4 linked regions of the Elephas maximus indicus genome follow. The protein of the gene in region 4 interacts with the protein of the main gene of each other region in a pairwise test. Links are inferred from orthologs where the notes say so. Each region holds a gene or a part of one and is shown on either strand. Other genes may lie near its edges. The genes, in order: CCDC120, CLIC3, COPE and EFHC2.

Region 1 (6,824 bases), about 6.5 Mb from region 4:
AAACTAAGGAATGCCAGCAGCCAGAGGGACCACGGTCCTACTGACACCTTGATTTCAGCCCAGTGAAGCTGATTTTGGACTTATGGCCCCCAGGCATGTGAAAGAATAAATTTCTGTTGTTTTAAGCCTCCAACTCTTGTGGTGATTTGTTACAGCAGCCACAGGAAACTAATATAGATGGCTTGGGGGTACAGTTGGGGGTCATTAGAGGCCCTTTGAGGATGCATAGGGTTATGCTTAGAGGTCATTGGAATGTGTTTGGGGTGCAGCTGGACACCATCAAAGGGAAGACTGAGGTAGGGTTGGGGGTCAGTGGAGGGTGGTTTAGAAGTGGAGTTGGGAGCTTGTGGGAAGGCAGATGGGGTACGTTTACAGGTAGCACCAGGGGCTATTAGAGGGCAGTTTAGGGTGTAGTTAGCAAATCTTGGAGGATACGGTTGGGAAAAATTGGAAGATGTTTTGTGGGTATAGTTGCTATAAAACCAAAAAACCAAACCCACTGCCATCGAGTGGATTCTGACTCATAGTGACCCTATAGGACAGAGTAGAACTGCCCCATAGAGTTCCCAAGGAGCACCTGGTGGATTCTAACTGCAGACCTTTTGGTTAGCAGCCATAGCTCTTAACCACTATGCCACCAGGGTTTCCATAGTTGCTATATAAAAATAAATAAAAATATTTGCATGTAATTTAAGACAAGTTTGGGGATGGGGCCATTGAAGGTGGTTTGGTGTGTAGTTTGAAGTTGCAGTTGAGGGATCAGGGGAAGATAGTTAGGGAGTATCATGGGTTGAATTGTGTCCCCTCAAAATATGTGTCAACTTGGTTAGTCCATGATTCCCAGTACTGTGTCATTGTCCTTCATTTTGTGATTGATGTAATTTTCCTATGTGTTGTAAATTCTAATCTCTGCCTGTGGCTAATGGGGCGAGATTAGATATGTTACAGAGGATTAGGGTGGGATGTAACACCTTACTCAGGTCACATCCCTGATCCAATGTAAAGGGAGTTTCCCTGGGGTGTAAGATAAACGGTGGGCTTGCATCACCTTTTATCTTACGAGAGACATAAAAGAGAGAAGCAAGCAGAGAGACAGGGGGACCTCATACCACCAAAAAAGCAGCACCTGGAGCTGGCACCCTGAATTCAGACTTCTAGCCTGCTAGACTGTGAGAGAATAAATTTCTCTTTGTTAAAGCCATCCACTTGTGGTATTTTTGTTATAGCAGCACTAGATAACTAAGACAATGAGTGTTTAGAGGCAGAGCTGGGGGCTGTTGGAAGGGGAATTTTAGGGATGAGGTTTAGAGTTGCTGAAGAGTAGTTTGGGTTAGAGTTGTAGATCACTGAAAGGGCATTTTGGGGGTTATTCTTGGGAGTTAATAGATGGCAGTTTGAGGGTGTGGTAGAGACTGTAGTGGAGGGTGGTTTGGGATGAAGTTGAGGCTCTAGGGCAGTAGTTTAATAATGAGGTTTGAGGGTCAATAGAGTGGTTTGGTGTATGGTTGAGGACTAGTGAGTAAGGTTTGTGATGCAGTTTGGGGGCCTTTTCGAAGATCTCTATGTCAGAGGACTGTTGTGAGTTATAGTTAGGGAGCTACTAGTGGGTGATTTGGGAAGTAGTTAAAGATCACTGGATGGAATATATTCAGCAATAAAAGGAACAAGCTACTGATATATGTTATAACACGGATGAACCTCAAAAACATTAAGCTAAGTGAAAGAAGCCAGACCCAAAATCCATATATTACATTTATACGATATGTCCAGAAAAGGCAAATCTATAGAGAAAGAGCCCTGGTGGCCAAGCAGTTAAGAGCTCAGGCTGCTAACCAAACGGTCGGTAGTTCAAATCCACCAGCCACTCCTTGGAAACCCTACAGGGCAGTTCTACTCTGTCAGATAGGGTTGCTATGAGTCTGAATTGACTCTATGGCACACGACAACACAAAAACAACATAGAGACAGAAAGTAGATTAATGGTTGCGTGGGGTGGGAAAAGAGAATGAGGATTAACTGTATTTAGGCATGAGGGATCTTATTGAGGATGATGAAAGTGTTCTAAAACTGGATTGTGGTGATTGTTGCACAACTTGGTAAATTTACTAGACTGGATTGTATGCTTAAAGTGGGTGAATTTTATGGTATATAAATTATATCCTATTTAATTGTTCTAAGAAAAGATCACTGCAGGGTGCTTCGTGGTACACTTGGGTCACTGAAGTGTGGTTTGGGGTGCAGTTAAGAATCACTGAAGGCTATCTATATGGGATCAAATTGACAACAGCAACTTGAAAGATTAGGCAGGAACTTTAGAGGGCAGTGAGTTTGTGTTATTGGGGGAGGAGCAACTTAGAAAAGGAGGGTGAGAATGGTTGCACAAATGGAAGAATGTAATCAATGTCTCTGAATGGTACATGTAGAAACTGTTGAATTGGCTCATGTTTTGCTGCGTATATTCTCAACAACAACAAAATATTTTTTTTAAAAAAGAGTCATTGGAGGGCTTGCGGGACACATTTTAAGCCCCTGGAGTATGATTTGGGGGTTCAGTTTGGTAACTACAGCAAGATGGTTGGTGGTTATTTGTAAGTATAGTTGGGGAGGACTGTTGGAGAGTTGGGGCATGCAATCTGGCAGAGTGCAGTTTGGTTTTGGAGGTATAGGAGATGTTGGAGCATGGTCTGAAGTGCAGCTTAGGAATCACATATAGAGTAGTTGGAAGTTATTTAGGATAGTGATGGGGGCTGTTGGAAGGTAGTTTGTGTATGTGTGGGGTTAAAGGAAGATTTTTTGGGGGGCCAATGGCTCAGGGGTAGAGCAGGAGACTGTTAGAGTGTTACTGGGTGTGCAGGTGGGGCCACACTAAGGGTAGTTAGGAATGTTTGGGGTGATGTTGAGGGCTCTTGGAAAGTAATTTGGGGATGAGTAGAGTATGACTCGGAGGGTATACGGGGTTGTTTTGGGGTCAGTGGAGGGTGTTTTGGGTTGCATATTGGGGGTAGGTGGAGGGTGGTTTGGAAGTGCTGTTTGGAAGTCAATGTTGGCTGGCTTACAAAGTTGATGGAAGATGGTTTGGGGAAAATAACTTAGGGGTAATGGAGGGTAGTTTATGGGTGCAGCTTGGGTACCCATGGAGGGTGGATTGGAGGTGCTGCTGGGGGGGGGTCAATGGAGAGTAGTTTTGAGATACAATTGGGGAATGACAGAGGGTGGTTTGAAGGTTGAAAATCAAAGGTAAATGTGTAGAGTGATTTGGGAGTTGATGAAGCAAGGTTTGGGGGTGCATTTCGGGGTCTATGGATAATTGTTTTGGATGCAATCTTGATGTCTATGGAGGGTAATTTAGGGGTATAGCTTGGGGTCAATGTAGTTAGTCACTTGGGCGCAGCTTGGAGGTCAATGGAGTGTGTGGTGTGGGGTGCATTTGGAAGATGGCACAAAGGGTTGTTGGTGGCGTTTAGAGGTGTGGTGGGGGTTGTTATAGGGCAGTTTGGGGTGCTGCTTGGGGGTCCATGGAGGGTAGCTCAGGGTGAAGGGCTCCATTCTGATCACTGAGAGGGTGTAGCCTCGTTGGGGGCGGGACCCGGACCTGGAAAGGTGAGCTCCCGGGGCGGGAGCTACTAGGTTCCTTCCCCTAACCGGCTTGGCAGCCCTTGAGAACGCGCGTGCGCACGCACTCCCAGTTTGTCCGCCCAGGGCCCTCCCAGGGCAGGGAAAAAAAAAACAACCCGAAGACCCGAGTTTGCGCCTGCGCACTTCACCTCCGCCGCTGCTGTGCTCTCGCGCCCCGCCCCCTTCCCCTCCTTATACCGCTTCGCGCTCAGCGGCGGAGCCTGTGGTGCTGCCGGGAGGCCGGGAGCCAAGGAAATCGAGTTAAAGGTGGGGGGCGAGGATTCACCGCCAGCGGCGGAGCCAGGCGCTTCTCTTCCACCCTCTTCGCTTCTGCTGTCTGAACCCCACGGCTATCCGTCGCGCGGTGCACGCGGCCCAGGGGCAGGGCGCGGAAGGGGAGTAGGCGCGGGCCCGAGGACGAGCGGGGGCCCGCGAAAGAGGGGCGCACCCACCAGCACTCTCGGCCTACAGCGACCCCTCCGTACGCCGTGGTACAACGAGTCTCAGTGAGTAATAACTCCCGCCCGGGGACGAAGGGAGGGAACAGGGCGGGGTGAGGACCGAGAAACGCCAACGGCAGACGTACCTGCGCGAGCACACTCCCTCACTTCTGACCCTGTGGACTCTCTCGACTCCTGTCTTACCTGACAACATATTTTTTTTAACCACGAACCCTGGCCCAGGACCTCCTTCCTGACCCCTGACCTAATCATATTCTGGTCTGCCATGGTCCTCAACCCCTGTTTTGCCCCTCTAAACCCAGTCCTCACCCCAAACCCCGTCCAGTCCTGTCCTCAGGATTCTTGGCCTGAGCGGAGCCTTGCCTGACTTCATGCCATCTCAGAAGCTCATCTTGCCCTGCTCTGATGCCCAACGCTGACCCCATTTTCTGTCCAGATGTTTGACCTGTCTGTTCCCTAAACCCCTGTGCAGTCTCTGACTCCCTTCTTAGTCATGTCCTATCCCGTTGACCCCAACCTGATCCCAGACCTCATAGTTTTTCCCCTTCCCCTTGGCCCTTTCCTGACTCCTGACCTCTGTCCTGGCTCACCACCTTTGGAATGCCCCCCTGTCTTCTGCCCTGTCCTCGCCCCCAAACCTGTCCTGTTTTTCCCTTTCCTCTCTTGTCCCATCACTATCCCCATCCCCATTCTCATGCTGTCCTGGTCTTTTCCTCTTCCTGACCTCCAACCTGAACCTGCCCTTTTCCCTCTTGCCCCCCAAACTACTGTTTTGACCTGTCCTGTTTTGTGACTGCTGTTCTATACTGATCCTGACCCCTGCCCTGCAGTTTTGTCCCCTTTTTGTGCTTTGTCTCTGACCCCTGCCCTGAACCTCACTCCATCCCATTCCCTAGCCAGTGTCCTGGCTCATTCCATGTCCTTCCTCTTAACCTCTATTCTTTGATGAGTCTTATTCAGTCTTGTCTCCTACATTCCTTCCTGTCTTGTTCCCTCATCCAGTCCCAACCCTGGGCCCCTGTTCTAACCCTCACCATTCCCCTCCACCCTGTTCAGATCTCCTTTCTTCCTAACACCCACTTTCCATCCCCTCTGAGCCCAGAAGGACAGGGGTCTCATTATACCCTGCTCCTGAACTTGGAGGGTCGTCATTCCCAGGGCCTCTGAAGTACATCCCAAGTACTTTCTCTTAGCGAAAGGGGGAATGAACTTTCATTCTGCCTACTCCATCACCTACAGCTGCCTGAGCAAACAGTCCTGTGGGGCTGATGGGGTTTTGAATGTGATCTACCCTCACTCCAGTGATGTCATACAGAGCTTGCACTTCTCTCTCTGCCCCAAGAGGGCATGGAACTGGTCCTACGCCCCCCCCACCTTCCCCAAGTGTGAAAGAATACCCTAAATTATTCATTGGCTCTCTGGGAGTCTGCAAGTTCCAGGTCATGTTTCCAGCCTTGCCAGGTCGGAGGGGCTGCCCCATGTCAGGGGGATGAGCGAGTATTTGGGGATAGCGGACCCAGGAATATGTGTGAATCTTCCAGGTCATGTTATCTCCACCCCCTGGTCTTGATTCTGAATGTGTGATCCGTGCTTTCCTGGCCTGGAAACAAGTCCATTCTGGGCCAGAGGCTTCAGGGTTTTGTGGGGGTAGGATGGGGGCAGAGGTTTATTTCCCCTTCTCTCTCAGCAGTAAGCAATATCAGTCTTGGTGCTAAGTCTACCCACATTTGTGGGGTGGGTCTGTGTGTGGGGGGCAGGGAGGGGCGTGGTCACTGGATGTTAGAAACAGGTCCATCCAGTAGTAATTATAACAACAGTATTAATAGGATGATCCCTTGCTGTCTGCATCTCCTTGATTCTGAGATGGGGAGAATTTGTGTAGTGAGGAAGTACTGTGTTATTCAATTACATCTTGTTTCAGTGTTTCTCATAGAGTACTGAGAGTTTGAATAATGAGAGCTACCAAATCCATCTCATTTATCCAAAACGTTTAACCAACCTGTTAATAACAGTACCATCACCATAAGTGTTCCTCGATGTCCCAATCTATTTGGTACCTGAGTTCTGAGAGGAAGCATTCTGATCATTCAGACAGTGAAAGATACCAAGATATCTTAAAGTTTTTGGTTTCTGCATTTTACAGAGTAGGTAGAGTTCAGATAATGAAGGATAAGGACTCTAACGCAAAAATATATTCACATCTATTAACTTTTTGAGTTCCAGTAGCAAGAGTTGGGATACCTAGGTTTGTATAAACATATTTGGTTCCTGCATTTTGCCTGGTAAGTAAGGAAAGCTCAGAGAGTGAGGGATACCAACTCTATCTCAGATATGTATCTAAATCCATTCAGTTGCTGAATTTGGATAGTGAGAGTTGAGACAAGTTATCTGAATGTATTTGGTTCCAGCATTTTTTGTTTGTTTTCTTTTAAAATTAAAAAAAATTTTATTGTGCTTTAGGCAAAAGTTTACATTGCAAATTGTTTCTCATTCAAAAATTTATACACAGATTGTTTTGTGACATTGGTTGCAATCCCTGCACTGTGTTGACATCCTCCCCCTTTCTCTTGACCCCGGGTTCCCCATGTCCATTCGTCCAGTTTTCCTGTCCCTCCCTGCATTCTTATCTTTGCTTTGGGGCAGCTATTGCCCATTTGGTCTCGTGTACTCGACTGATCTAAGAAGCATGTTCCTCACATGTGTTATTGTTTGTTTTATAGCCTGTCTAATCTTTGGCCTGGTAGCCTA
Region 2 (6,837 bases), on a different chromosome or scaffold from region 4:
ATGAGGAAAGTTTTCCCACATTGTGGTCCTTCACGGCAGGTCCTGGAGCAGCATGTGCTTCCTGTCCCCATCTGTAGGCAGAGAAGAAATCGGCCTTCACTGTCTTCATTCCTAGAGAAAACACCCAGACCATTTAAGGAACAGCCTAGAAGGTTCTGGATTCTAGGCTGCCCTCACCGTACAGCACACCCAGCCCCTAGAGCCCCCAGCCTGGCAGGAGCCCAGGGTCTTGCTGTTCCCCACCACTATGGACCCCAATCACCGAGAGAGAGCCGCCTCCTGGGGGAAGGGTCCCCAACCCCTCATGGAAACACGAGGAGGGGTCAGGGCAAACAGTGTCAGAGTTTGGAGCTTGACCATTTCAGCTCAGGGCAGCTGGACACCTGTCTCTGCCCCACAGCTATGCTTCCATCCCTCCCCGATCCCTAACCCCCATATTCCTGCCAGGTCAACAGCTAGGACCACCCAGATGGACGGGGTGGTCAGCCAAGTCCCTGCTGCAGATGAACCCGCCATACCTGGGGTCTGATCTCAGGTCACTACTGCCTCCTGGGGCAGCAAGTCCCTGGGAAGGTGAAGCTTAGCATGCCCTGGAGTTTGGACAGGGCAGGGACACTCAGGCAGGAAGGCCACCCTGGGCATTCTCCGTGTGTGGATGGGGTTGGGGGTGGGGTGGGGGCCCGGACTCAGGGCACTGTATGTGCCAGGTTCCCCCCATTCTCTCCATCACAGCTCTCTTCTTGTGGCACTGATCCTTCTTCCCGGGGAACATAAGGCGGCACACCTGAGCCGTCCTCAGCTCTTCTGGCCCAGGTGTCCCTCTGCTCAGGTGCCCCCAAAATTTCACTGCCACCTGCTCCCGGGCATAGAGCACCCCAGGACTCCTTCCTCCAAAGTTTGCTGATGAACCTGACACACCTATTTTACCAGTGTGCGTAACTTCAAATATCCGGTAGCCAGAGGAACAGCAGGTGGGGCTGCTTAGGGTAGGCGAGAAGCCCCTGAGCCAGCAGGGGTGGGGCCAAGACTCACAGGAAAGTAAACGAAGCCTCTAGGTTCTCACCCTCCAGGGCAGTCACCATCATGGGGGACACCTTCTTGGGCCTCTTTTCCATGGACAAGTCCTTGTCGGCCACCACTGCCTTCACATACCAGGTCCCTAGGAGCTGGAGGTGGGTGAGGCATAAGCCCTCAGCCTGTCCCGACCACCCCACCCGACCCAGAACCTGCTGAAACCCACCCGCACCCCAGCCACACACAGCCCAGCTGCCTAACTGGAACCGCAGTACCAGCTGTAGCCCCTAAAGGCTGGCCAGGCTCCACATTTGGATACCCTGGCTTGATCAGTGCAAACCCAGCACACAGTCCCAGCCCCAAATGGAGGCAGAGGGTGTCTGTGGCCCTACAAATCTCTTCTCTGCCAGGACAAGGTCCTGTTCCAGACAATCCCGAAATGCCTTGGGGAGAGGGTGCTAGGGTGCTAGTTCAGCAGGGTTACCGAGCTGAGCCTGCTCCCTGCCCCAGGCCCCTGTGCCGAGGGAGGGGCAGGTCCAGGGACAAAAAAGCTCAATCTTCCTGCTCCCTCTGACTACCCGCTGCCGGAGCACAGAGCCAGGGCCCTAAACTGGACCTAATCCCCATCTTAAAATGACACCTCCTACAGTCTGGTGGTTCCTCAAAAAGCTAAACATAGAATCACCGCATGACTCAGCAATCCCACCCCTAGGTATGTACCCAAAGGAATTGAAAACAGGGACTCGAACAGTTTTGTGTACACCAGTGTTCACTGCGGCACTATTCACAACAGCTGGAAAAAACCCAAGTGTCCAGCAACAGGTGGGCTGATCAAAATACGTGGTCTATGCATACAGTGGAATGCTCAAGCGTAAAGAGAAATGAAGTCCTGAGTCATGCCCCAACATAGGTGAGCATTGAGAACACGACACTGAGTGACAAGGTCAGACACAAAAGGACAGCATTGTATGATCCCATTTATATGAAATACCTAGACTAGGCAAATGCGCAGAAAGAAGTAAAATCGTGGTTTCCAGGGGCTGGGGGTGGTTATTGTTTAAAGTGTACTGGGTTTCCCTTTGGGGTCAAAAAGAATACACACACACACACACACACACACATATACATATACAGAGACAGTGGCTGCAACAGTGGGCTCAAGCGTAGTGAGGACAGTGCAGGACCAGGCAGTGTTTCATTCTGTTGTACATGGGGTCGCTATGAGTCGGAACTGACTGCAGGGCACCTAACAACAACATACACTGTGTATGTTACACACTACATATGTTACACACTACATACGTTACACATCACATGTTACATACTACATATGTTACACACTACATGTTAGACACTATACACGTTATACACTACATACATTATATACTGTATTATTATGAAGCCCTGGTGGCACAGCAGTTAAGTGCTCGGCTGCTAACCAAAAGGTCAGCAGTTGGAATCCACCAGCTGCTCCTTGGAAACCCTATGGAGCAGTCCTGCTCTGTCCTATAGGGTCACTACGAGTTGGAAACCACTCGACCACAATGGTTTTATTATTGTGCATATAAAATTTTACACACACACACACACACACACACACACGACATGTGGTGAACAGGTACAGGTGTGCAGGGCCTCAGGCTGCTTCCCCAGGGTTGGCAGTTTGTGAGGGAAGCAGAAACCAGCCAGAGGAGCTATGACTGTGGCACCGACAGTATTGGCATGGCTGAAAGCGTGGAGCACCGGATCTTCACAGGGGCTTCATAGAGGCGGGGTGGAGGGGAAAACTCAGGCTCCAGGGGGGTAGCCTGACCGCTACCTGACTATGTGACCACTGGAGGCCCCCGCACGCACGTCGGTGCCCCTGAGCCCCGACCGCGTGCTGGAGAGGACGGCGCATTTCGGGCACGGCACAGACTCCCGGGAAGGCTGCGGAGCCTTGAGCCGGGGACAGGAGCCGAAGCCGCGTGGACCAGGGCCCTTGGCGAGGGGGCAGCGGGCAGAGCGCACGGGCGGGCGTGGGGAACCGGCGCCGCCCGAACGCCCTGTCCGGCCAGCACCACTCTACGCGCTCCAGGTGAGCCGGGCGCGCAGGCTCCGGGCAATGCAGTTTGCGGCCACCGGGTGGCAGCCGAGCCTCCTTGGGCGCCCTGCCTGGAGGAGGTCGCCCCTCCGGGGTCCCCTGGGGCTGCTCCCCTTCCACTAGGCGCCCGGGGGCGGGGGGAGACGGGAACGGGGTGCACCCAGGTTGTGGGCTCCAGGAGGCTGGGGATCTAACTTCCCTCCCCACACTTCTTTTTATAAGGTTCGAGGAGAAAGAAAAGCCAGCGCTGGGCCTGCGTGGGAGGGCAGTAGTGCAGGGTGGAGGCGCCTCCACCACGGTCTGGAAAGCCAAGCTCATCTCCCAGACTGGCTGGCTGGAATGTGGGGTGCTGCCCTGAGCAGGAGTGCAGGCTTGTCTGTGACACCGCCTGACCCAGCAGGGCCAGCTGTGCGTTGGGTAGCGGGTCCCTCCCAAGAGGGCTCATCACTCCTAATGCAGATCCTAGAGATGGGGAAACTCAGGCCACGGCTAGGATGTTCCTCCCCTCTCTCCCAACAAGCAGACACCCTAGCTCTCTGGGCCCAGGCCCTGATCAACAGCAGGTGCTCCCTGCAGAGGGCCCTGAGTGCAGATCTTGGGCTGGGGTCTGTGGTGGGGGTGCCTGATCCAGAGCTGTGCCCACCACCCCCCAGCTAGTGGCACTCCACCCCCCTGCCTCTCACTCAGTCCACTGTTCTTGAACCCCTCCGACTGTCTGCCCTGAATCAGACCCACAGTCCTGGGCCCTCAGCCTGTACCAGCTGCCTCAGTCTCAATCTCGGGCTAGCCCCAAACACCCAGTTTCCACCTACAGTCACACCCTGGAGCTCAGCCTTCTGCACGTACAGTCCTGCACAGCTGGCTCTGAACCTGGGCAGCCTCACCTCCCGACTAAGTACCTGGTGGGGCGGCCCCTGGGCCAGGGAGGGCGGGGCAGCCAGGGAGCCTTAAAGAGCGCAGGCCCCTGCCTGGCGCCCTGTCTGTGCTCAGAGCCTCTGCGCCTGCCATGGCTGAGACCGCCAAGCTCCAGCTGTTTGTGAAGGTGCCAAGAGGGCTGGGCTGGGGGACAGGGCCTTGGGGGAGGAGGCTGAGTGGCTCTTCTGGGCTGAGCTCTCTGGTGTGGGCTGAGGGGGTCTCCCAGATAGTGGCTGAGCCCCTGCCGTTCTGGTGGGCTTGGGGACTCAGGCAGCTGTCAGCAGGTTGAGTAAAGTAAGGGCTGCTTGGGGAAGAAGGCCCCCAGTAAGTCACCCCCAAAGTGGGGGAGTTTCTTCACTCCCAGTCTGGTTCTGGGCCCAGCCCATCACTTGGGGCAGGGGTGGGGGGAAGCCCTGGTGGGGAAGTCAACCAGGCTGAGGCCCTGGAGCTTGGGGTCAGTGTGCGGAAGTGAGGAAGGGCTGGGCCAAGCAGCTCTTTGGCCTCAGGTCAGTGCGCATTCTTGGGGTCTGTCTGTGTGTAGAGGGGTGGAATGCGGCCGGACTCCACCCCTCCCCACCTTGGGGGTGCGGGGAGTCAGCATGGTGCCAGCAGAGATGCCCAGCTCAGAGGCGTGAATCACTGAGAGAACAGCTCCCAGCCCACCCCACCCTGTCACCAGCTGACGGGCCTGGAGCAGGGGGCCTGGCCTCTGTTCAGGCTCTGAAGATAAGGTTTGAGGGGCCGGAGGTCCCACCCCACCCTAGCAGCTCTGCACCCTCTCCAACTCAAGTGCCCTCTTGGAGCGGCCCTGTCCAACCAGCCAGCCCTGGCGCTGCTCCCAGCCCGCCTGGTGGTGGATTCCTGGGGCTGCTCCCTGCCCTAACCCCCTGCTCCACCCACCCAGGCGAGTGAGGATGGCGAGAGCGTGGGGCACTGCCCTTCCTGCCAGCGGCTCTTCATGATTCTGCTCCTCAAGGGCGTGCCCTTCACGCTCACCACCGTGGATGTAAGAAGGTGAGCCCATCCCCGCCCTGCGACCCTTCCCGGGCCTCCGCGCCGCTCGGCCAGGCCCTCCTTCCTCCTGTACTGCAGGTCCCCAGACGTGCTGAAGGACTTCGCCCCCGGTTCGCAGCTGCCCATCCTGCTCTACGACGGCGACGCCAAGACAGACACGCTGCAGATCGAGGAGTTTCTGGAGGAGACGCTGGGGCCGCCCGAGTGAGGGCCCCGGGCGGGGAGGGGGCGATGGGCTCCGGAAAGGACGACCCAGGACGAAGCTGGCGGGACGCGGGCAAGGGAGTGCTGACCGGGCCTGATGGAGCGTCCCCACCCACCCCGCCCGCAGTTTCCCCAGTCTGGCGCCCCGCTACCGAGAGTCCAGTACAGCAGGCAACGACGTTTTCCACAAGTTCTCGGCGTTCATCAAGAACCCAGTGCCCGCGCAGGACGACGGTGAGTGGGGCGGGAGCAGGCTGGCCGGGAGGGCGCTCCGGGACCGGATCCTTACTGCCCCCATCCCCCAGCCTTGTACCAGCAACTGCTGCGCGCCCTGGTCCGGCTGGACCGCTACCTGCGCGCGCCCCGAGAGCACGAACTGGAGCGCGAGCCTCAGCTGCGTGAATCGCGCCGCCGCTTCCTCGACGGTGACCAGCTCACTCTGGCTGACTGCGGGCTGCTGCCCAAGCTGCACATCGTGGACGTGAGCACGGGCGCGGGCGGCGGGGCCCGGGGCGCGGCCGGCGGGGCGCGGGCGCGCGAGGGCCTGACCCGCCTCCCCCCCCAGACGGTGTGCGCGCACTTCCGTCAGGCGCCCATCCCAGGCGAGCTGCGAGGCGTCCGCCGCTACCTGGACAGCGCGCTGCAAGAAAAGGAGTTCAAGTACACATGTCCACACAGCGCCGAGATCCTGGCGGCCTACCGACCAGCCGTGCGCCCCCGCTAGCCGCTCACGTCTCCCTACGGACCGAGCTCCCCGCCTGCCGCCCCCATGCCCACTCGTCCGGAGCCCTATCGAGGCACTTGGGCCTGAGTGCGCGTGATCTCACGTCCGAGGGCCCAGACCCCACGATCACTGCCACCCCTAAGCCCCACCTTGGGAAGCTCAGCACCAGATGACCCTCCCAGAATGACAGGGACAGGAGAACGAGCAGGTGCGGGGAGAGGGACACAGCCCTTCCCCCACACACACGGCAAACCCAGGGGCTCAGAGCCTCCTGCAGCCATCTGGGGCCTGCGACAGGGATTGCGGGGACAGGATTGGGTTCCCAAACCAGTCAGGCCAGGGCGGGGCGGCAGGATGGCCGAGGAGGGTGGGGAGCCAGGGCCCAGCCCTGGGCACCCCGGGGCTTGGGGCTTGGGGCCAGGGGGGCGGGGCTGGCCCACATTCCTCAATCCCGCCCCAGCAGGTGGCCGCAGCCCTTCTCGGACTCCTGGTGGGGGCAGCTCCAACGGGTTACTGCCCAGGCCCTACAGCGCATCTGTGCATGGTGTGTGGCCATCTGGGTGGGGTCTGTCAGAGTGACGTGTGCAGGGCGGGATGTGTGCCGGGTTGGGGTGGGAATAGCGTCGACCTCTTGGGTAGCTCTGGGCCTGCCCTGCACCAGCTTCACAGGCAGGGAGGGCTGGGCGGGTATGCAAGAGCCGGGGCTCCGGCAGACCCAGCGACCAGGAGCCTCCTCCCGAGAGTGCCCAGGAGCCGCAGGTTTGAGCCAAGATGCAATCTGCTTACTTCCGGTGGCCCCGATCCCAAGGCAGCCCCCAGGAGCAAGTCTGGCCCCGCACCTCTGCCGGAGGGCTGGAAACAAAACAACTGTTGCAGTTTCTGA
Region 3 (7,268 bases), on a different chromosome or scaffold from region 4:
ATCCACCTGACCCGAGACGCCATGCTGCTCACCACCACCTTATACTGGTTCCCTCCCAGACCTGGGATTCCCTCCTCTAATCTGCATTCTTCCCCACGTGTCTGTCAGTTCGTCATAGTGTGGGGGCTTGCGTGTTGCCGTGATGCTGGAAGCTGTGCCACAAGTATTCAGACACCAGCAGGGTCACCCATGGTGGACAGGTTTCAGCTGAGCTTACAGACTAAAACAGACAAGGCAGAAGGACCTGGCGGTCTACTTCTGGAAAGAATTAGCCAGTGAAAAACCTTACGAATAGCAGCGGAACACTGTCTGATAATAGTGCCGGAAGATGAGCCCCTCAGGTTGGAAGGCATTCAAAAGATGACTGGGGAAGAGCTGCCTCCTCAAAGTAGAGTTGACCTTAATTACAGGCATGGAGTCAAGCTTTCAGGACTTTCATTTGCTGATGTGATAATATCCTAGTTGTTAGCGAGCTGAAATGGACTGGTATTGGCCATTTTCAATCAAACAATCATACAGTCTAATATGCCGGGAATGACAAGTTGAAGAGAAATGGCATTGCGTTCATCGTCAAAAAGAACACTGCGAGATCTATCCCGAAATACAACACTGATAGGATAACATCCATACGCCTACAAGGAAAACCAGTTAATACGACTGTTTTTCAAATTTACGTACCAACCACTAAGGCCAAAGATGAAGAAACTGAAGATTTTTACCAGCTTCTGCAGTCTGATATTGATTGAACGTGCCATCAGGATGTACCGATAATCACTGCTGATTGGAACGCAAAAGTTGGGAACAAAGAAGAATGATCAGTAGTTGGAAAATATGGCCTTGGTGACAGAAACGATGCTGGAGATCGCATGACAGAATCTTCCAAGATTAATGACTTTCTCATTGCAAATACCTTTTCTCAACAATATAAATGGCAACTATACACGCGGACCTCGTCACATAGAATACACAAGAATCAAACTGACTACATGTGTGGAAAGAGAAGATGGAAAAGCTCAATGTCATCAGTCAGGACAAGGCCATGGGCTGACTGCAGGACAAACCATCATCAATCGCTCATATGCAGGTTCAAGCTGAAACTGAAGAAAATTAGAACAAGTCCACGAGAGCCAAATTATGATCTTGAGTATGCCACACCTGAATTAAGAGATCACCTCAAGAACAGCTTTGATGCATTGAACACTAATGACTAAACACAAGAGGAGTAGTGGAATGACATCAAGGACATCATACATGAAGAAAGCAAGAGGACACTGAAAGATTAGAAAGAAAGGAAAGATTAAAATGGATGTAAGAAGAGGCTCTGCAACTTGTTCTTGACTTTGAGTAGCTAAAGCAAAAGGGAAAATGATAAAATAAAAAAACTGAACAGAAGATTTCAAAGGGCAACTCAAGAAAACAAAGTACTACAATGACATGTGCAAAGACCTAGAGGTAGAAAACCAAAATGGAAGAACACATCTGGCATTTCTCAAAGCTGAAAGAACTGAAGAAAAAATTCAAACCTCAATTTGCAATATTGAAGGATTCTACGGGGAAAATATTAAACGATGCAGTAAGTATCAAAACAAGATGGAAAGAATATACAGAGTCACTATACCAAAAAGAACTGATCTATGTTCAACCGTTTCAGGAGGCAGCATGTGATCAGGAACCGACGGTACTGAAGGAAGAAGTCCAAGGTGCTCTGAAGGCATTGGCGAAAAAACAAGGCTCCAGGTATTGAAGGAACACCAATTGAGATGTTTCAACAAATAGATGCAGTGCTAGAAGTGCTTACTCATCCATGCCAACAAATTTGAAAGACAGGTACCTGGTCAATAGACTGGAAGAGATCTGTATTTATGCCTATTCCCAAGAAAGGTGATCCAATCAAATGTGGAAATTATTGAAAAACATCATTAATATCACATTCAAGTAAAATTTTGCTGAAGATAATTTAAAAGCGGCTGCAGCAGTATATCAAAAGGGAACTGCCAGAAATTCAAGCCAGATTCAAAAGAGGACATCAAATGAAGGATATCGTTGCTGATGTCAGGTGGATCCTGGATGAAAGCAGAGAATACCGAAAAATATTTACCTGTGTTTTACTGATTATGCAAAGGCATTCCACTGTGTGGATCATAACAAACTATGGATAACACTGCAAAGAATGGGAATTCCAGGACACTTAATTGTGCTCACGAGGAACCTGTACATAGATCAAGAAGCAGTCACTCGAACAGAACAAGGGGATCCTGGGTAATTTAAAGTCAGGAAAAGTGTACGTTAGGGTCGTATCCTTTCACTATGCTTATTCAATCTGTCTGCTGGGCAAACAATCCAAGAAGCTGGGTTATATGAAGAATGGGGCGTGAGGATTGGAAGAATAGTCATTCACAGCCTCTGATGTGCAAAGGACATAACCTTGCTTGCTGACAGTGAAGAGAACTTGAAGCACTTACCGATGAAGGTCAAAGACCACAACCTTCAGTATGGATTACACCTCAACATAAAGAGAAAAAAAATCCTCCCAACTAAACACGAAACAATAAATGTTGGAGAGGCTGTGGAGAGACTAGAACACTTATACACTGCTAGTGAGAATCTAAATTGCTACAACCACTTTGGAAATCGATTTGGCGCTTCCTTAAAAAGCTAGAAATAGAACTACCATACGATCCAGCAATCCCACTTGGATTATATCCCACTTGGAATATATCCTAGAGAAATAAAAGCCTTCACACAAACAAATACATGCACACCCATGTTCACTGCAGCGCTGTTTACAATAGCAAAAAGATGGAAACAACCAAGGTGCCCATCAACGGATGAATAGATAAATTATGGTATATCCACACAACAGAGTACTACACGTTGATAAAGAACAGTGATGAATCTGTGAAACATTTCATAACATGGAGGAACCTGGAAGGCATTATGCTGAGTGAAATTAGTCAGTTGCAAAAGGACAAGTATTGTATAAGACCACTATTGTAAGAACTCAAGAAATAGTTTAAACAGAGAAGAAAATATTCTTTGATGATTATGAGAAGGGGGAGGGAAGAAAAGGGGTATTCACTAATTAGACAGTAGATAAAAACTTCTTTAGGTGACGGGAAAGACAACATATAATACAGGCGAGGTCAGCACAACTGGACTAAACGAAAAGCAAAGAAGTTTCCAGAATGAGCTGAATGCTTCGAAGGCCAGCGTAGCAGGGGCGGGGGTTTGGGGACCATGGTTTCAGGGGACATCTAAGTCAACTGGCATAATAAAATCTATTAAGAAAACATTCTGCATCCCACCTTGGAGAGAGGCATCTGGGGTCTTAAATGCTAGCAAGCGGCCATCCAAGATACATCAATTGGTCTCAACCCACCTGGATCAAAGGAGAATGAAGAACACCAAGGACGCAAAGTAATTACGAACCTAAGAGACAGAAAGGGCCACATAAACCAGAGACTACATCAGCCTGAGACCAGAAGAGCTAGATGGTGCCTGGCTACAACCGATGACTGCCCTGACAGGGAACACAACAGAGAACCCCTGAGGGAGGAGGAGAGTAGTGGGATGCAGACCCCAAATACTTGTAAAAAGACCAGACTTAATGGTCAACCTTCCCTGTGCTCTGAGACTATGCAACTTTAGAGGTTACGTCACGTCTCTGCGGACGCAAGGTCCGCCACGCGGTCTGAAAGCCAACACCGCCCTGTCCACCTCCGAAGCCCAGACTCGCCCGGAACGCCCAAGACTGCGCCTCACCTCGCGGAACCAGCGTGGACAAAGGCCGCGAGAAGGGAAGAGAGGGGGAGAAAAGCGGAGACACCTCCTGGGAAAGCGGCCGGCACACTCACCCTCCAGGATGGCGGGGATGCAGCCGAGCTGCACGGGCGTAGGCTGCTTCAGACCCAACTGCCGACATTGTTCCACTAGCCACGATGACAGCCCGAGCTCCGCGAAACACGGCATCCTCTTCCCCAGTCGCGGGGTGGTAATGAGCCGCGTTTCCGGTGCGCGCCGATGACGTCACGAAAGCCTTTTCGTTCATAGTGACTAGCCCCCTCCGCCAATCCCCCCCTTCGTCCGCTGCCTCATGCGTTCCCCAAGATGCAGTGCGGGACAGGCTTGCACTCCGCCCCCTGACTCGTATCTATGAGCTTCCCATTGGTTCATCTCCCTGTCACCTGGAGCAAGTAAACTACATTTCCCGGCATGCTCCGCGGCGGTCCCTGATTTCGGCCGACGTGTCCCTCCGGAAAGGGAAGTGGGTGAGACGACAGCAACATGGCGCCTCCGGCCCCCGGTCCGGTCACTGGCGGCTCCGGGGAAGTGGACGAGCTGTTCGACGTGAAGAACGCCTTCTACATCGGCAGCTACCAGCAGTGCATCAACGAGGCGCAGCGGGTGAAGGTGCGGCTGTGCCGAGGCTGGGGGACTCTGGGGGCGGAGGTGCCGGCAGCTTCTTGTGGTCACAGTCAGCTGCTAAATACTCTCCCTTTTCTCGCAGCATATTCCCTGCGCTCACCTCTTAAGAGCGCGGCAAGGAATTAACATTGTCTTATTCCAAAGTCTAAATCTGTAACAGCTTTGTTTATAAAGGGCTCGCTCTGCGCCCGGGAATGTATTCGAGTGAGGGAGGTAGTTATTCCACTTTATAATAATATGATGATGATGATAAGTCCCACTTGTCGAGCGCACACTGTGCCCGCCGTACTCTCCGTCCCCGTGAAGAGGGGACTGCTCTTTATCTTTATTTCGCAGACAAGCACTTCAAGGCTCGGAGAGAGGGTCGCTTCCCCAAATAATTACTTTGCCTGCTAGCTCAGTTGTTTCTGCCAAAACTCATTCATTCATTCAATAAAGTACTCATTGTACTTATTGAGGATTAGAACGGGCCATGGAATGTGTTCTTGCAGTACTCGGGACAATAACCCAAATAGACAAAGATCCCAGCTCTCTTGGAAATCTCAGCCTAGCAGAAAAGACAGACGGAAAAGAAGAAACACGAAGTGAGGAAGTGGCAAGAGAGTGGTGTGAAGGAGAGTGGTGGGCGTGAGCTTGGATATTTATTATTGTTACCCAGTCGGCCCTGGCTCTGTGTATAACAGAATGAAATGTTGCCCTGCCCTGCACCATCTTCGTGGTCTGTAGTGTGCTGGAGTGCATTGTTGCAGCCACTGTGCATTTTGAATGCCTTCCAACCCAGATGGCTCATCTTCCAGCACTGTATCAGACAGTGGTTTATTGTAATCCATAGAGTTTTCATTGGCTGGTTTTCAGAACCAAGGGGTTCTTCCTGGCCTTCCTTATTCTGGAAGCTCCACTGAACCATTCCACCCTGCTGATACTTGAAATACCAGTAGCATAGCTTCCAGCATCACAACAACACATAAGCCACCACAGTAGGACACACTGACACACGGGTGGTGGTTGGCTGTTTAAGAGCTAGAAAATCATTCAGCATGGCAAGACCCAGCGAGTGAAGCAGGTAAAAGGAGAGGAGCGGCAGGGCCTTTTAGGAAGGTGTGTAGACTTCGCTGTGATTTTGAGGGCAAGCCTTTAAAGCAGAGTGAACATGGCAGTGGCCTTGCCCCACCTTCACTGTCTCAGGTCCCAAAAATGGTGAGTGAAGAAGGTTTGGATACATAATTACGGCCTGTGATTAGTGCTATTTGTAGTCCTGTTGCTGAAAATCTTCAATTTCTTCGTCTGTGGCCTTAGTGGTTGCTGTGTAAGTTTGAAGAATAGTTGTATTAACTGGTCTTTCCTGTAGATTTATGGGTGTTATCCTATCAATGATAGTGCTGTACCTCAGGGTAGATCTTGAGATGTTCTTTTTGACAATGAATGTGATGCCATTTCTCTTCAAGCTGTCATTCCGGCATGTCGTTGTTGTTGTTAGGTGCCGTCGAGTCGGTTCCAACTCAATAGCGACCCTATGCACCACAGAACGAGACACTGCCGGTTTATGTCGTTGTTATGCTTGAGCTCATTGTTGCAGCCACTGTGTCAGTCCACCTCATTGAGGGTCTTCCTCTTTTACGTTGACCCTGTACTTTGCCAGCCATGATGTCCTTCTCCAGGGACTGATCCCTCTTGACAACGTATCTAAAATGTGTAAGGCGCAGTCTTGCCATCCTTGCTTCTAATGTGCATCCTGGTTGCACTTCTTCCAATACAGATTTGTTCGTTCTTTTGGCAGTCTGGCATAGTAGACCATAATTGTCTGATTCAAAACGGCCATACGTGTTTCTGTTTCTTTCTTTTTTTTTTTTTTTGAGCTTTAGGTGGAGGTTTACAGAACAAACTAGCTACTGTTAAACAGTGTACATATTGTTTTACGATATTGCTTAATAACTCCACAACCCGTCAATACTCCCTTTTCGACCTTGGGTTCCCTATTACCAGCTTTCCTGTCTCTTCCTGCCTTCTAGTCCTTGCCCCTGGGCTGGTGTGCCTCTTTGTTTTGTTTTATGGGCCTGTCTAATCTTTGGCTGAAGGGTGAACCTGAACAGTGACTTCATTACTTGTCCAGGGGCCATATCCTCAGGGTTTCTCCAGTCTTTGTCAGACCAGTAAGTCTGGGTTTTTTTTGTGTGAGTTAGAATTTTCTACTTTTTTCTCCGGCTCTGTCCGAGACCCTCTATTGTGATCCCTGCCAGAGCAGTCGGTGGTGGTAGCCAGGTACCATCTAGTTGTACTAGATTCAGTCTGGTGGAAGCCACGGTAGCTGTGATCCATTAGTCCCATTTCTTTTTGATGACTTCCAAGTTTTCTAGATTCATACTTTGTACATTCCATGTCTCGATTGTTAATGGATGTTTGTAGCTGTTTTTTCTCATTTTGAGAGAGGTCCTGTTTCCCGTGGGAGTGGTCCTGTCTCCCCAGGCCTTCTGGACAGTATGGTCAGAACCTGAGACTGACCCTTTTTTTTTTTTTTTTTAATTTTTATTGTGCTTTAAGTGAAAGTTTATAAATCAAGTCAGTCTCTCATACAAAAATTCATATATGCCATGTTATATACTCCTAACTGCTCTCCCCCTGATGAGGCAGCACACTCCTTCCCTCTGCTCTCTCTTTTTGTGTCCATTCTGCCAGCTTTTGACCCCCTCTGCCCTCTCATCCCGCCTCCAGACAGGGATGCCATAGTCCCATATGTCTACTTGATCCAAGAAGCTCATTCTTCACCAGCATCATTTTCTATCCTGCTGTCCAGTCCAATCCCTGTCTGAAGAGTTGGCTTTGGGGATGGTTCCTGCCCTGGGCTA
Region 4 (8,014 bases):
GCTCAATTCTGCTCCTCTGACTTTCTATTGAGTTGTCTAATTCTGTAATTTTATTGTTAATCTTCTGAATTTCTGATTGTTCTCTGTCTATGGATTTTTACAGCTTATTAAATTTTTCATTATGTTCCTGAATAATCTTCCTAATTTCTTCAATTGCCTTATCTGTGTGTTCCTTGGCTTGTTCTGCGTATTGCCTCTTTTCCTTCCTGATGTCTTGAAGGGTTCTGTTTATTAATATTTTGTATTCCGCCTCTGGTAATTCCAGAAGTGCACGTTCATCTAGAATATCTCTGTATTCTTTGTTTTGAGAGCCTGTTGAGGTGATCATGGTCTGTTTCTTTGTGTGACTTGATATTGACTGCTTTCTCCAAGCCTTCTACAAGGTATTGTATTAGTTTATGCTTGCTCACTGTGTCATAGCTTTTTGCTTTGCTTTTTTTTTGTTTTGACATGCTCAAATGGTTTGCTTGAGTGAGCTAGCTTGATTATTTTCACCTTTGGAGCTCTGACATCTTGTCCCCAGATGGCTAGAGCTGTTATCAGGTATATCAGTCTGTGAGTTCATTCAGTTTTCTTGTATGAATTCATCTCAGGTGTCCAGGTAGCTGATCATCAAGTGTGTGGTACAGGCTGTGTCCTACAGTCTTAGGGGGGCAGGGGTGATTGGTGTATGTACTGGCATCTGATTGCAATGGGGGTCACCCTCTGAACAAGGCAGGGGGTAGAAAACCGACCCCTGAGTGTCTCTGAGGAAAGCACATCCCTGTTCCCTAGAGCATGCAGGTGGGTGAGTTCTGCAGATGGACCATGGGTACCCAATGTTTTTGTTTGTAGGAACTGGGAGGTACCATTTATTCTTGCACCCCCTTTCGTGTGTGGCTGGGTGATCTGAGTGCAGCTACCAGTCCTTAGGCCCCTATGTGGGTAGGTGAGGACACTGTTTAATAGGCAAAGCAATGTCAAGTATCAAACACCCACTTCTCCACCTCAAAGCTAAAAAGGTTGGATTCTGCAAATATGGGTGTTGTCTCCTGAAATAGGCCCACACAGGTCCATGCAGAGGGGAAAGGTGCTCAAAGTCCATGGACTGTTTATGCCTGGACAGTAGCCGCTTCTGTCCTGAGCTCCCCTGGTTAGTGGAGCTGACAAATTATCGTTTCCCCCAATTGCAAATTTTTTTCTTCTCCAGGGCCAGGAGGATGGCCCTAGGCACTGAGCAGGGCCTGTCTCAGGCCCAGGGAATTCAGCCATTGAAGGTGGCTTGGGGTTGGGGATGCACGGTAAAATATATGCAAGTACTTAGCTTTTGCCGGGAGCGCCGTTCTTCTCAGCTTCCGGAGGTGTGAGTAGGGTGTGTTGCTGGCTGCTTCTCCCTGAGGAAACTGCGGTTGAATGCTAGTACCAGTCTGCCACCGCTGCTCCGGGAATGGTGCCTGAGGGCTCCGCATGATTCAGGTCCAGTAACTCCTCTCCGCTTCTGAACCATTTCTTCCTCCCCCTGCCCCTCTGTTCTTTTGCTAAGCTTGCCTTTGATATTCAGGGCTCCTAGCTTGTCATAAATATACTCGTTTCACTTGTTTTTTAGGGTCTTTGTTGTAAGGAGGGCTTGCTGGAAGCGTCTGTCTATTTCACTGTCTTGGCTCCTCCTCCCTCATAGTATTTCTAGTTCTAGTTTTTTAAGGAAGAACCATACTTAATGATCATTTTCTGATTTTGATAATTCTATTTCAGCTCTGTACTAGAATATTTTCTGTAAATATTCAGTGAAGTATTTAGGGACATGGTGTCTGCAATTTACTGTCAAAGGGGAAATCATGTGTATATAGAGAGAGAATAATAGAACAAATATGGTAAAATATTAAAAAAAATTGAAGGAATCTGTGTGAAGGAGTTATTTGTACTATCTAGCAACTTTTAAAAATAAGTTTAAAATTATTTCAATTTAAAAAGTAAAAATATTTAAAAATGTTTGTAATAAAAGTAGGAGAGTAACTTCATCTTTTTGGCAAAGTGTACAAATCACAAACCATAATGGGAAAGGGTGATACATTTGAGTAGAGAAAATGACAAATTTTTGTGCAATAAAGAACTCCATAAATGGAAGTAACAGGCAAAGCACAAGTGATGAGAAGATATTTGCTATGGCTAGGATTAGTGTCTAGAATGAATATATATATATATATATATATATATATATATATATAGACACACACACAGAACTACAAATCAGTGAGAAAATCATGCATGATTCAATAGAAAAATCCAGTAAAAAAGGGTATGAATAGGTAATTAACAGAAAGTAATAAGCATGTGAAAAGATGACCAACTGTACTTGTAATTAGGTAAAGATAAATTAAGATAACAAGGGTATACCATTTCACATTTATTCAGTTGATGGTCCAAAATTATAAAATTTGATAACACCCATTGTTGGAAAGGATAAAGAGAAAAGAGGATTTTTTAAAAAAATTTTCTTAAGTGGTTCAGTGATTCTAGAAATGATTTAACAAGATCTAGTAAAGTCGAAGGTGTGTACCCCTAAAACCCAAACCGAGTGCTGTCGAGTCGATTCCGACTCATAGCGACCCTATAGGACAGAGTAGAACTGCCTCACCCCTACAACCCAGCAATTGCACTTTTGGGTATAAACTGAACAAAACCAAACCCATTGCCATAGAGTTGATTCTGACTCATAGCGACCTTGTAGGACAGAGTAGAACAGCCCCATAAGGTTTCTAAGGAGCTGCTGATGGATTCAAACTGCCGACCATTTTGGTTAGCAGCCTGAGCTCTTAAACATACCCTAGATAGTCTCTACCTTCTGTGCCAAGAGGACATATACAGGGGTGTTCATTGCATCATAGTCGATAATAGTGAAAAATTGGAAACACCTAATTGTCATCAACAGAGAATAGATAATTTGTGGTATAGTCATACCATGCATTCAGAATGAATGAAGTATATCTACATGCGTCAACATGTAGAAATCTGAAAAAAATCTTAGTTGAAAAAAGCAAGTAGCAGAAATTTATAGTGTAAAGGCTGTAAACACAGAAAACAATGTATACTTTTTGTGAATAAATGCATACCAGTATGGAAACCCTGGTGGCATAGTGGTTAAGTGCTACAGCTGCTAACCAAAAGGTTGGCAGTTCGAATCCACCAGGCGCTCCTTGGAAACTCTATGGGGCAGTTCTACTCTGTCCTATAGAGTCGCTATGAGTCGGAAGTGACTCGACAGCAGTGGGTTTTGGTATCAGTATAATAACATGGTTGCAAGGAAGTATACAAACCAACATCATTAAGATGGTTACCTCTAGTGCAAAAGTAGGGAATGGGATTGAGTAGTAGTATAAACAGAGCTTCAGCAGAATCGATAACATTTTATTTCTTTAAAAACAAAAGGATTTGAAGCAAATATGGCAAAATGCTAGCAAATGTTTAATCTGTGTGGTGGATATCTGTATGTTTGTTAAATTACTATCTGTACCTTTATGTTAATTTAAAACAAACAAACCCAACCCAACTCAACCAAAAAACAAAATAACACAAAACAGAAAAGGAGATACAGACCCTGCCCTGGAGGAATTTTGGGATATTTAAAGAGAGTCAAGTAATATGTCATTACAATATAGAAAGATGAAAGCCACAATTAAAATGGACACCTAATACAGATGGGGTGGGGTTGGGCAGGAAGAAGGTGAAGAAACATTTCCCAGAAATGGCAAAGGTTTCCATGCCTCTCTCCCACACTGAACCAAGTCCTGAAAAACAAGAGGGCTTACCCAGGTGAAAGGAGAAAAGGTTGTTTCTAGTAGATAGTGACATTTGCAAAACCCCAGAAAGGAGAAAGAAACCTCAGGGCTTGGTCTGGGAGCTGCCAGTGGCTTTTCACAGCTGAAGTAGAACAGGCATGGCAAAGAAAGGGACAGAGGGTGTTGGCAGGTGACCCTGGCAAAGGCTGTTTAGAATAGGGTGAGGAGTCCAACTGCCTCCTGCCTCCTGAAAGAAGGATAGAAGGCTAGAAAGCTGTTTAAGCGGAAGAGTAACAGGTGTATCACGAGTTACGAAAGGATGAAATATCAGTCAGGTTTTTTTTTTTTTTTTAAATTTTTTTTTAAAGAGGAAAACCAGGGAAGAAATAATGGGGTCTCAACTGAGATAGATGAGGTGGTGACTAACCGATGCCAGAGTGTCTAAACAGTAGAAGGCAGGGAGGGATTAGCTGTAGGTGTGGGGAGAAGAATGGAGGAGGTTCCTGGCCTGGGCATCTTGGATAGATGATGGAGTGACAGGTGCTGAGTTTTGTGCCACCTGACTCCTCTCCTGGCCACTCCATGATTATGAGCACCTTACACACGTTTAGTTCAAGTATAAAAATGTACAGGGGAAGGACTGGGGATGGTGGTTACCACTGGAACGGGTTTTTGTGTGGGGGATGGATGGGATATGTGTGGCATTAGATTAGCCTAGAATACTTGAATTTAAAAAATAACGCTGATGTAAATGCAGCATAGGAAAACATTAACTTGTGTTAAATCTCAGTGAGCACATGGATGTATTGTTTCCTGAACTTTTCTGTATGTTTGAACTATTTAATAACCACATTCAATAATCAAATGGCCAAAAATGTTGGGACCAGTATTGGAGGAGTTTAAGTACATGAAAGGATGTGAGCTCTACAAAGGGGTTAAACCATAAAGCAGCGGGGGGCGGAGAATGGTGTGGTTGTCAAGTCTTTGTGCGTGCACAACGCGTGTAGAGAGAAGACTCGGATGACTTGTACGCGGCTGAGTGTGGATGGGCGCTGGAAGCAGCGGGCGAGGAGAAGAGGCCCTCCCGACCCTGCCCCTTCCCCTCCCTCTACTCTAGCTCCAGCCGGAGGACCGACCCGAGCCCCGCCCGAACTCCGCCCCTCCCTGCCGCCCGAGCCCCGCCCCGAGCCCCGGCTCGGCCCCTCCCCCTTCCGTTACACCGCCTCCCGTCTCCAGGTAACGAGAGGTCGAATGACGCGGCCTCGAGGCAGCCGCTGCAAGCAGGCCCCTCTACTTTCAGACCCTGGGTCCTCGGACGCGGAGAGCCATGGCCTTGCCCCTGCTGCCTGGCAATAACTTCAACCGCAACGTGAGTAGTGAGGACGCCCGAGGTCAGAGGTCCTGGCAGGAGTGTGGGTAGTCATTGACCCCGCTGGTGGCCGCCAATCGCTAGTTATCCTCCTGCCGGTTGGGCTCATCTTGGACCAAACTTCATAGGCTGGTGGAATCCTTATTTCTCTGCCTTTTGTCATCTCTCCCTCCCCTCTCTCCACAACTGCATCTGGGTGCTTTTCCTACATTAGGTACACAGGTAGTGTCCTTATAGGTGATAAACGAAACGACAGTACCCGTGAAAGTAAATGATGATAATGACAGTAATACTTAGTAAATGTTGAGCGTTTAAGGTGTGTCAGGAACTGTGTTTTAATCGCCTTATAGGGCATTTGATGCTCCCAACAGCCCTTTGAATTAGGTACTATTTTTACTTCCATTTTGCATTTGGGAAATCTGAGGCACAGAGTCACTCACCGACCCAGAGCTACACAATCTCAGTGGTGGAGCTGAATATCTTCCAGGCAACCTGTCCTCACAGCCCAGGAGCCTAATTATTTATCCTCAATATAGGGTGTGAAAGGGATAAATATAGTTTTCCATTAGTAAAGCAAAGAAGCCTGGCACTCTCAAGGGGGATGGGGGCTGATTGGCACTGAAACATGGAGGAATTTTTTGAAGGTACAAAACAAAACAACAACAACACAAAATACTCTGAGCATTGAAGAACTTTAAGAAAGGTGTTTAAGTAAGGTGCTATTTATTCACCTTAAGAACATTCAGGTGAATAAATAGCACCTTACTTAAACAAGAGCAGAAAAGCCATTCAGGCTTTTGTTTGCACTGGTCACTGTTCTTTACTTGGGTTTGCCAGTTGTGTCTGCAGGAAAAGGTAAATAATAAACCAATGGGAAGGAACTAGATGGAGCAAACAGTTGGATGTTGCAAATAGTTAAGTGCTGGACTACTAGCAGAAAGGTTGGCGGTTGGAACTCACTGAAAAGCACCTTGAAAGACAGCCCTTGCTATCTGCTCCTGGAAAGTCATTGCCTAGAAAACCCTATGGAGCAGTTCTCTGTATACATGTGGGGTCTCCATGAGTTGGAATCAACTCAGAGACAACTAACAACAGCAGTTCATAAACTTTCTAAGCTTAAGCATTTGACTTTATGAATTCTGAACATGTCTGTATCCAAGTCGATGACTCTAAAGTACTGGTCAGCTTTGTAGCCTCAGTCCACAGGATTCTGACCCCCCCATGCGTCTGTTCAGTCAAAAATATTGGTTTGCGCATTTCTTGCCTGGTGGGTAGAGGCTGGCCTTCCAGCACAGCGCGGCCCTTTGGTAAGATTAAGCCAGCCATCCAAATAAGAATGGGCCTAGAGAGGCAGGGCATGAAAAATGAAAAAAGATTCCAGAAGTAAAAAAGCATGCTGTGTAAAAGTAATTTTAATAAAAATTGAAAGTGAAGCCCACACCTTTTGGCCCACAATGGTTCAGATTACTGATGCCCACCACTTGCAGAAGTATCACAGCTCTCACATGCAATGATTAAGGGTGGGAAGGAAAACCAGTGGTTGGAGGAGATATTTTAAAATCTGCAAGGCTGTACTGGTGTACTTTTGCTCTTTTTTTTTTTTTACCCTTTTACTGTGAAGCACAATGTATAGAAAAATGCACAATGGATGATTACAAAATGAATGTCAAGAAATGGAACCTTCCCAGAATTCCTAGTGTTCCTCATGACTAGGGTTGCCAGATTTAGTAAATAAAAATACATGTCCCAAATATTGCATGGGATATACTTATACTAACAGATCATCTGTTGTTTATCTGAAATTCAAATTTAACTGAGTTTTGTATTTTATCTGGCAACCCTACCTATGACCATTCCTGTTCACTATTCCTTTCTGACTCTCCAAAGGTAACCACTCTCCTGGTTTCCATCACTATAGTTAGGTTTCCCTGCTTTTGAATGTATTATAAATGGAATGTCTAATGTTTATTCTTTTGTGAGTAGCTTTTTCAACTCAACATTATGTTTGTGAGATTTGTTCATGTGGCTCTCTGTAGAGGTACTTATCCATTTTCATTGCTCTATAGTATTCCATTGTATGACTATGACATTGTTTATATGTACATTTTACTCTTGATAGATATTTGGCTTGTTTGGGGCTATTAAGAATAGTTTTGCTATGACTATACTTGTTCACCCCTTTTGGTACTTCTTAGATCACATGGTATTTATATATTTAGCTTTAGTAGACACTGTCAAAATGGTTATATCAATTTAAATTCCCACCAGCATTTTATGTTCCTATGCTCTACATTCTAACACTTGATTTTACTAGTCTATTAAATTTTAGTTATTTCAATAGGTGAGTGTAGTGTAACTCTTGGTAGATTTAATCTGCATTTCACAGATTCCTAATGAAGGTGAGCACATTTTATGCATTTATTGGTTATTTGGATATTCTCTTTTGGAAAGTGTCTGTCACTTGTCTAATTTTCTATTGGGTTGTCTTTTTTTTTAGTGACTTGTAAGGGTTCTATACTTATTTTGGGTATAACTTCTTTGCCAGATATATGCGTTGGAAATATCTTCTAGTCAGTGGTTGGCCTTTTCACTCTCTTAATGGTGTTTTTGGTGAATAATTTTTTTCCTTTAGGTTTATGCTTCCTGTTTCCTATTTAAGAAACCATTCTTTACACCAGGTCGTGAAGATATTTCCCCATGTTATCTTTTGGAAATTGTGTTGTTTTTACCTTTCACATTTAGATCTACAGTCTACCTAGAATAAATTATTTGTGTGTAAAAGAGGGGTAGGGATCAAGTTGTATTCTTTTCCCATATGGATATTCAGTTGACTTAGAGTCACTTTTGGAGAAGGGTACCCTTTTTCCACTCCTCTGCAGAGCCACCTTTG

What was found.
Region 1: the proteins of EFHC2 (region 4) and CCDC120 interact in binary tests that used the Homo sapiens proteins (3 or more experiments, as listed by UniProt). The link is inferred for Elephas maximus indicus from reciprocal best matches to the Homo sapiens genes EFHC2 and CCDC120.
Region 2: the proteins of EFHC2 (region 4) and CLIC3 interact in binary tests that used the Homo sapiens proteins (3 or more experiments, as listed by UniProt). The two-hybrid records come from large-scale screens. The link is inferred for Elephas maximus indicus from reciprocal best matches to the Homo sapiens genes EFHC2 and CLIC3.
Region 3: the proteins of EFHC2 (region 4) and COPE interact in binary tests that used the Homo sapiens proteins (3 or more experiments, as listed by UniProt). The two-hybrid records come from large-scale screens. The link is inferred for Elephas maximus indicus from reciprocal best matches to the Homo sapiens genes EFHC2 and COPE.

The regions. Positions count from the first base shown.
Region 1 is NC_064846.1:122,538,697-122,545,520, reverse strand, and holds the start of CCDC120 (coiled-coil domain-containing protein 120), read left to right. Parts: upstream 1-3,808; 5' UTR 3,809-4,121; intron 4,122-6,824. UniProt on the Homo sapiens protein: Centriolar protein required for centriole subdistal appendage assembly and microtubule anchoring in interphase cells. Together with CCDC68, cooperate with subdistal appendage components ODF2, NIN and CEP170 for hierarchical subdistal appendage assembly.
Region 2 is NC_064827.1:1,442,198-1,449,034, forward strand, and holds CLIC3 (chloride intracellular channel protein 3), read left to right. Parts: upstream 1-4,044; 5' UTR 4,045-4,103; coding exon 4,104-4,139; intron 4,140-4,916; coding exon 4,917-5,026; intron 5,027-5,104; coding exon 5,105-5,230; intron 5,231-5,357; coding exon 5,358-5,464; intron 5,465-5,535; coding exon 5,536-5,711; intron 5,712-5,795; coding exon 5,796-5,954; 3' UTR 5,955-6,320; downstream 6,321-6,837. UniProt on the Homo sapiens protein: In the soluble state, catalyzes glutaredoxin-like thiol disulfide exchange reactions with reduced glutathione as electron donor.
Region 3 is NC_064821.1:38,774,002-38,781,269, reverse strand, and holds the start of COPE (coatomer subunit epsilon), read left to right. Parts: upstream 1-4,249; 5' UTR 4,250-4,284; coding exon 4,285-4,410; intron 4,411-7,268. Other genes in the region: probable ATP-dependent RNA helicase DDX49, read right to left, coding at 3,855-3,969. UniProt on the Homo sapiens protein: The coatomer is a cytosolic protein complex that binds to dilysine motifs and reversibly associates with Golgi non-clathrin-coated vesicles, which further mediate biosynthetic protein transport from the ER, via the Golgi up to the trans Golgi network.
Region 4 is NC_064846.1:128,993,487-129,001,500, forward strand, and holds the start of EFHC2 (EF-hand domain-containing family member C2), read left to right. Parts: upstream 1-5,011; 5' UTR 5,012-5,082; coding exon 5,083-5,124; intron 5,125-8,014. UniProt on the Homo sapiens protein: Microtubule inner protein (MIP) part of the dynein-decorated doublet microtubules (DMTs) in cilia axoneme, which is required for motile cilia beating.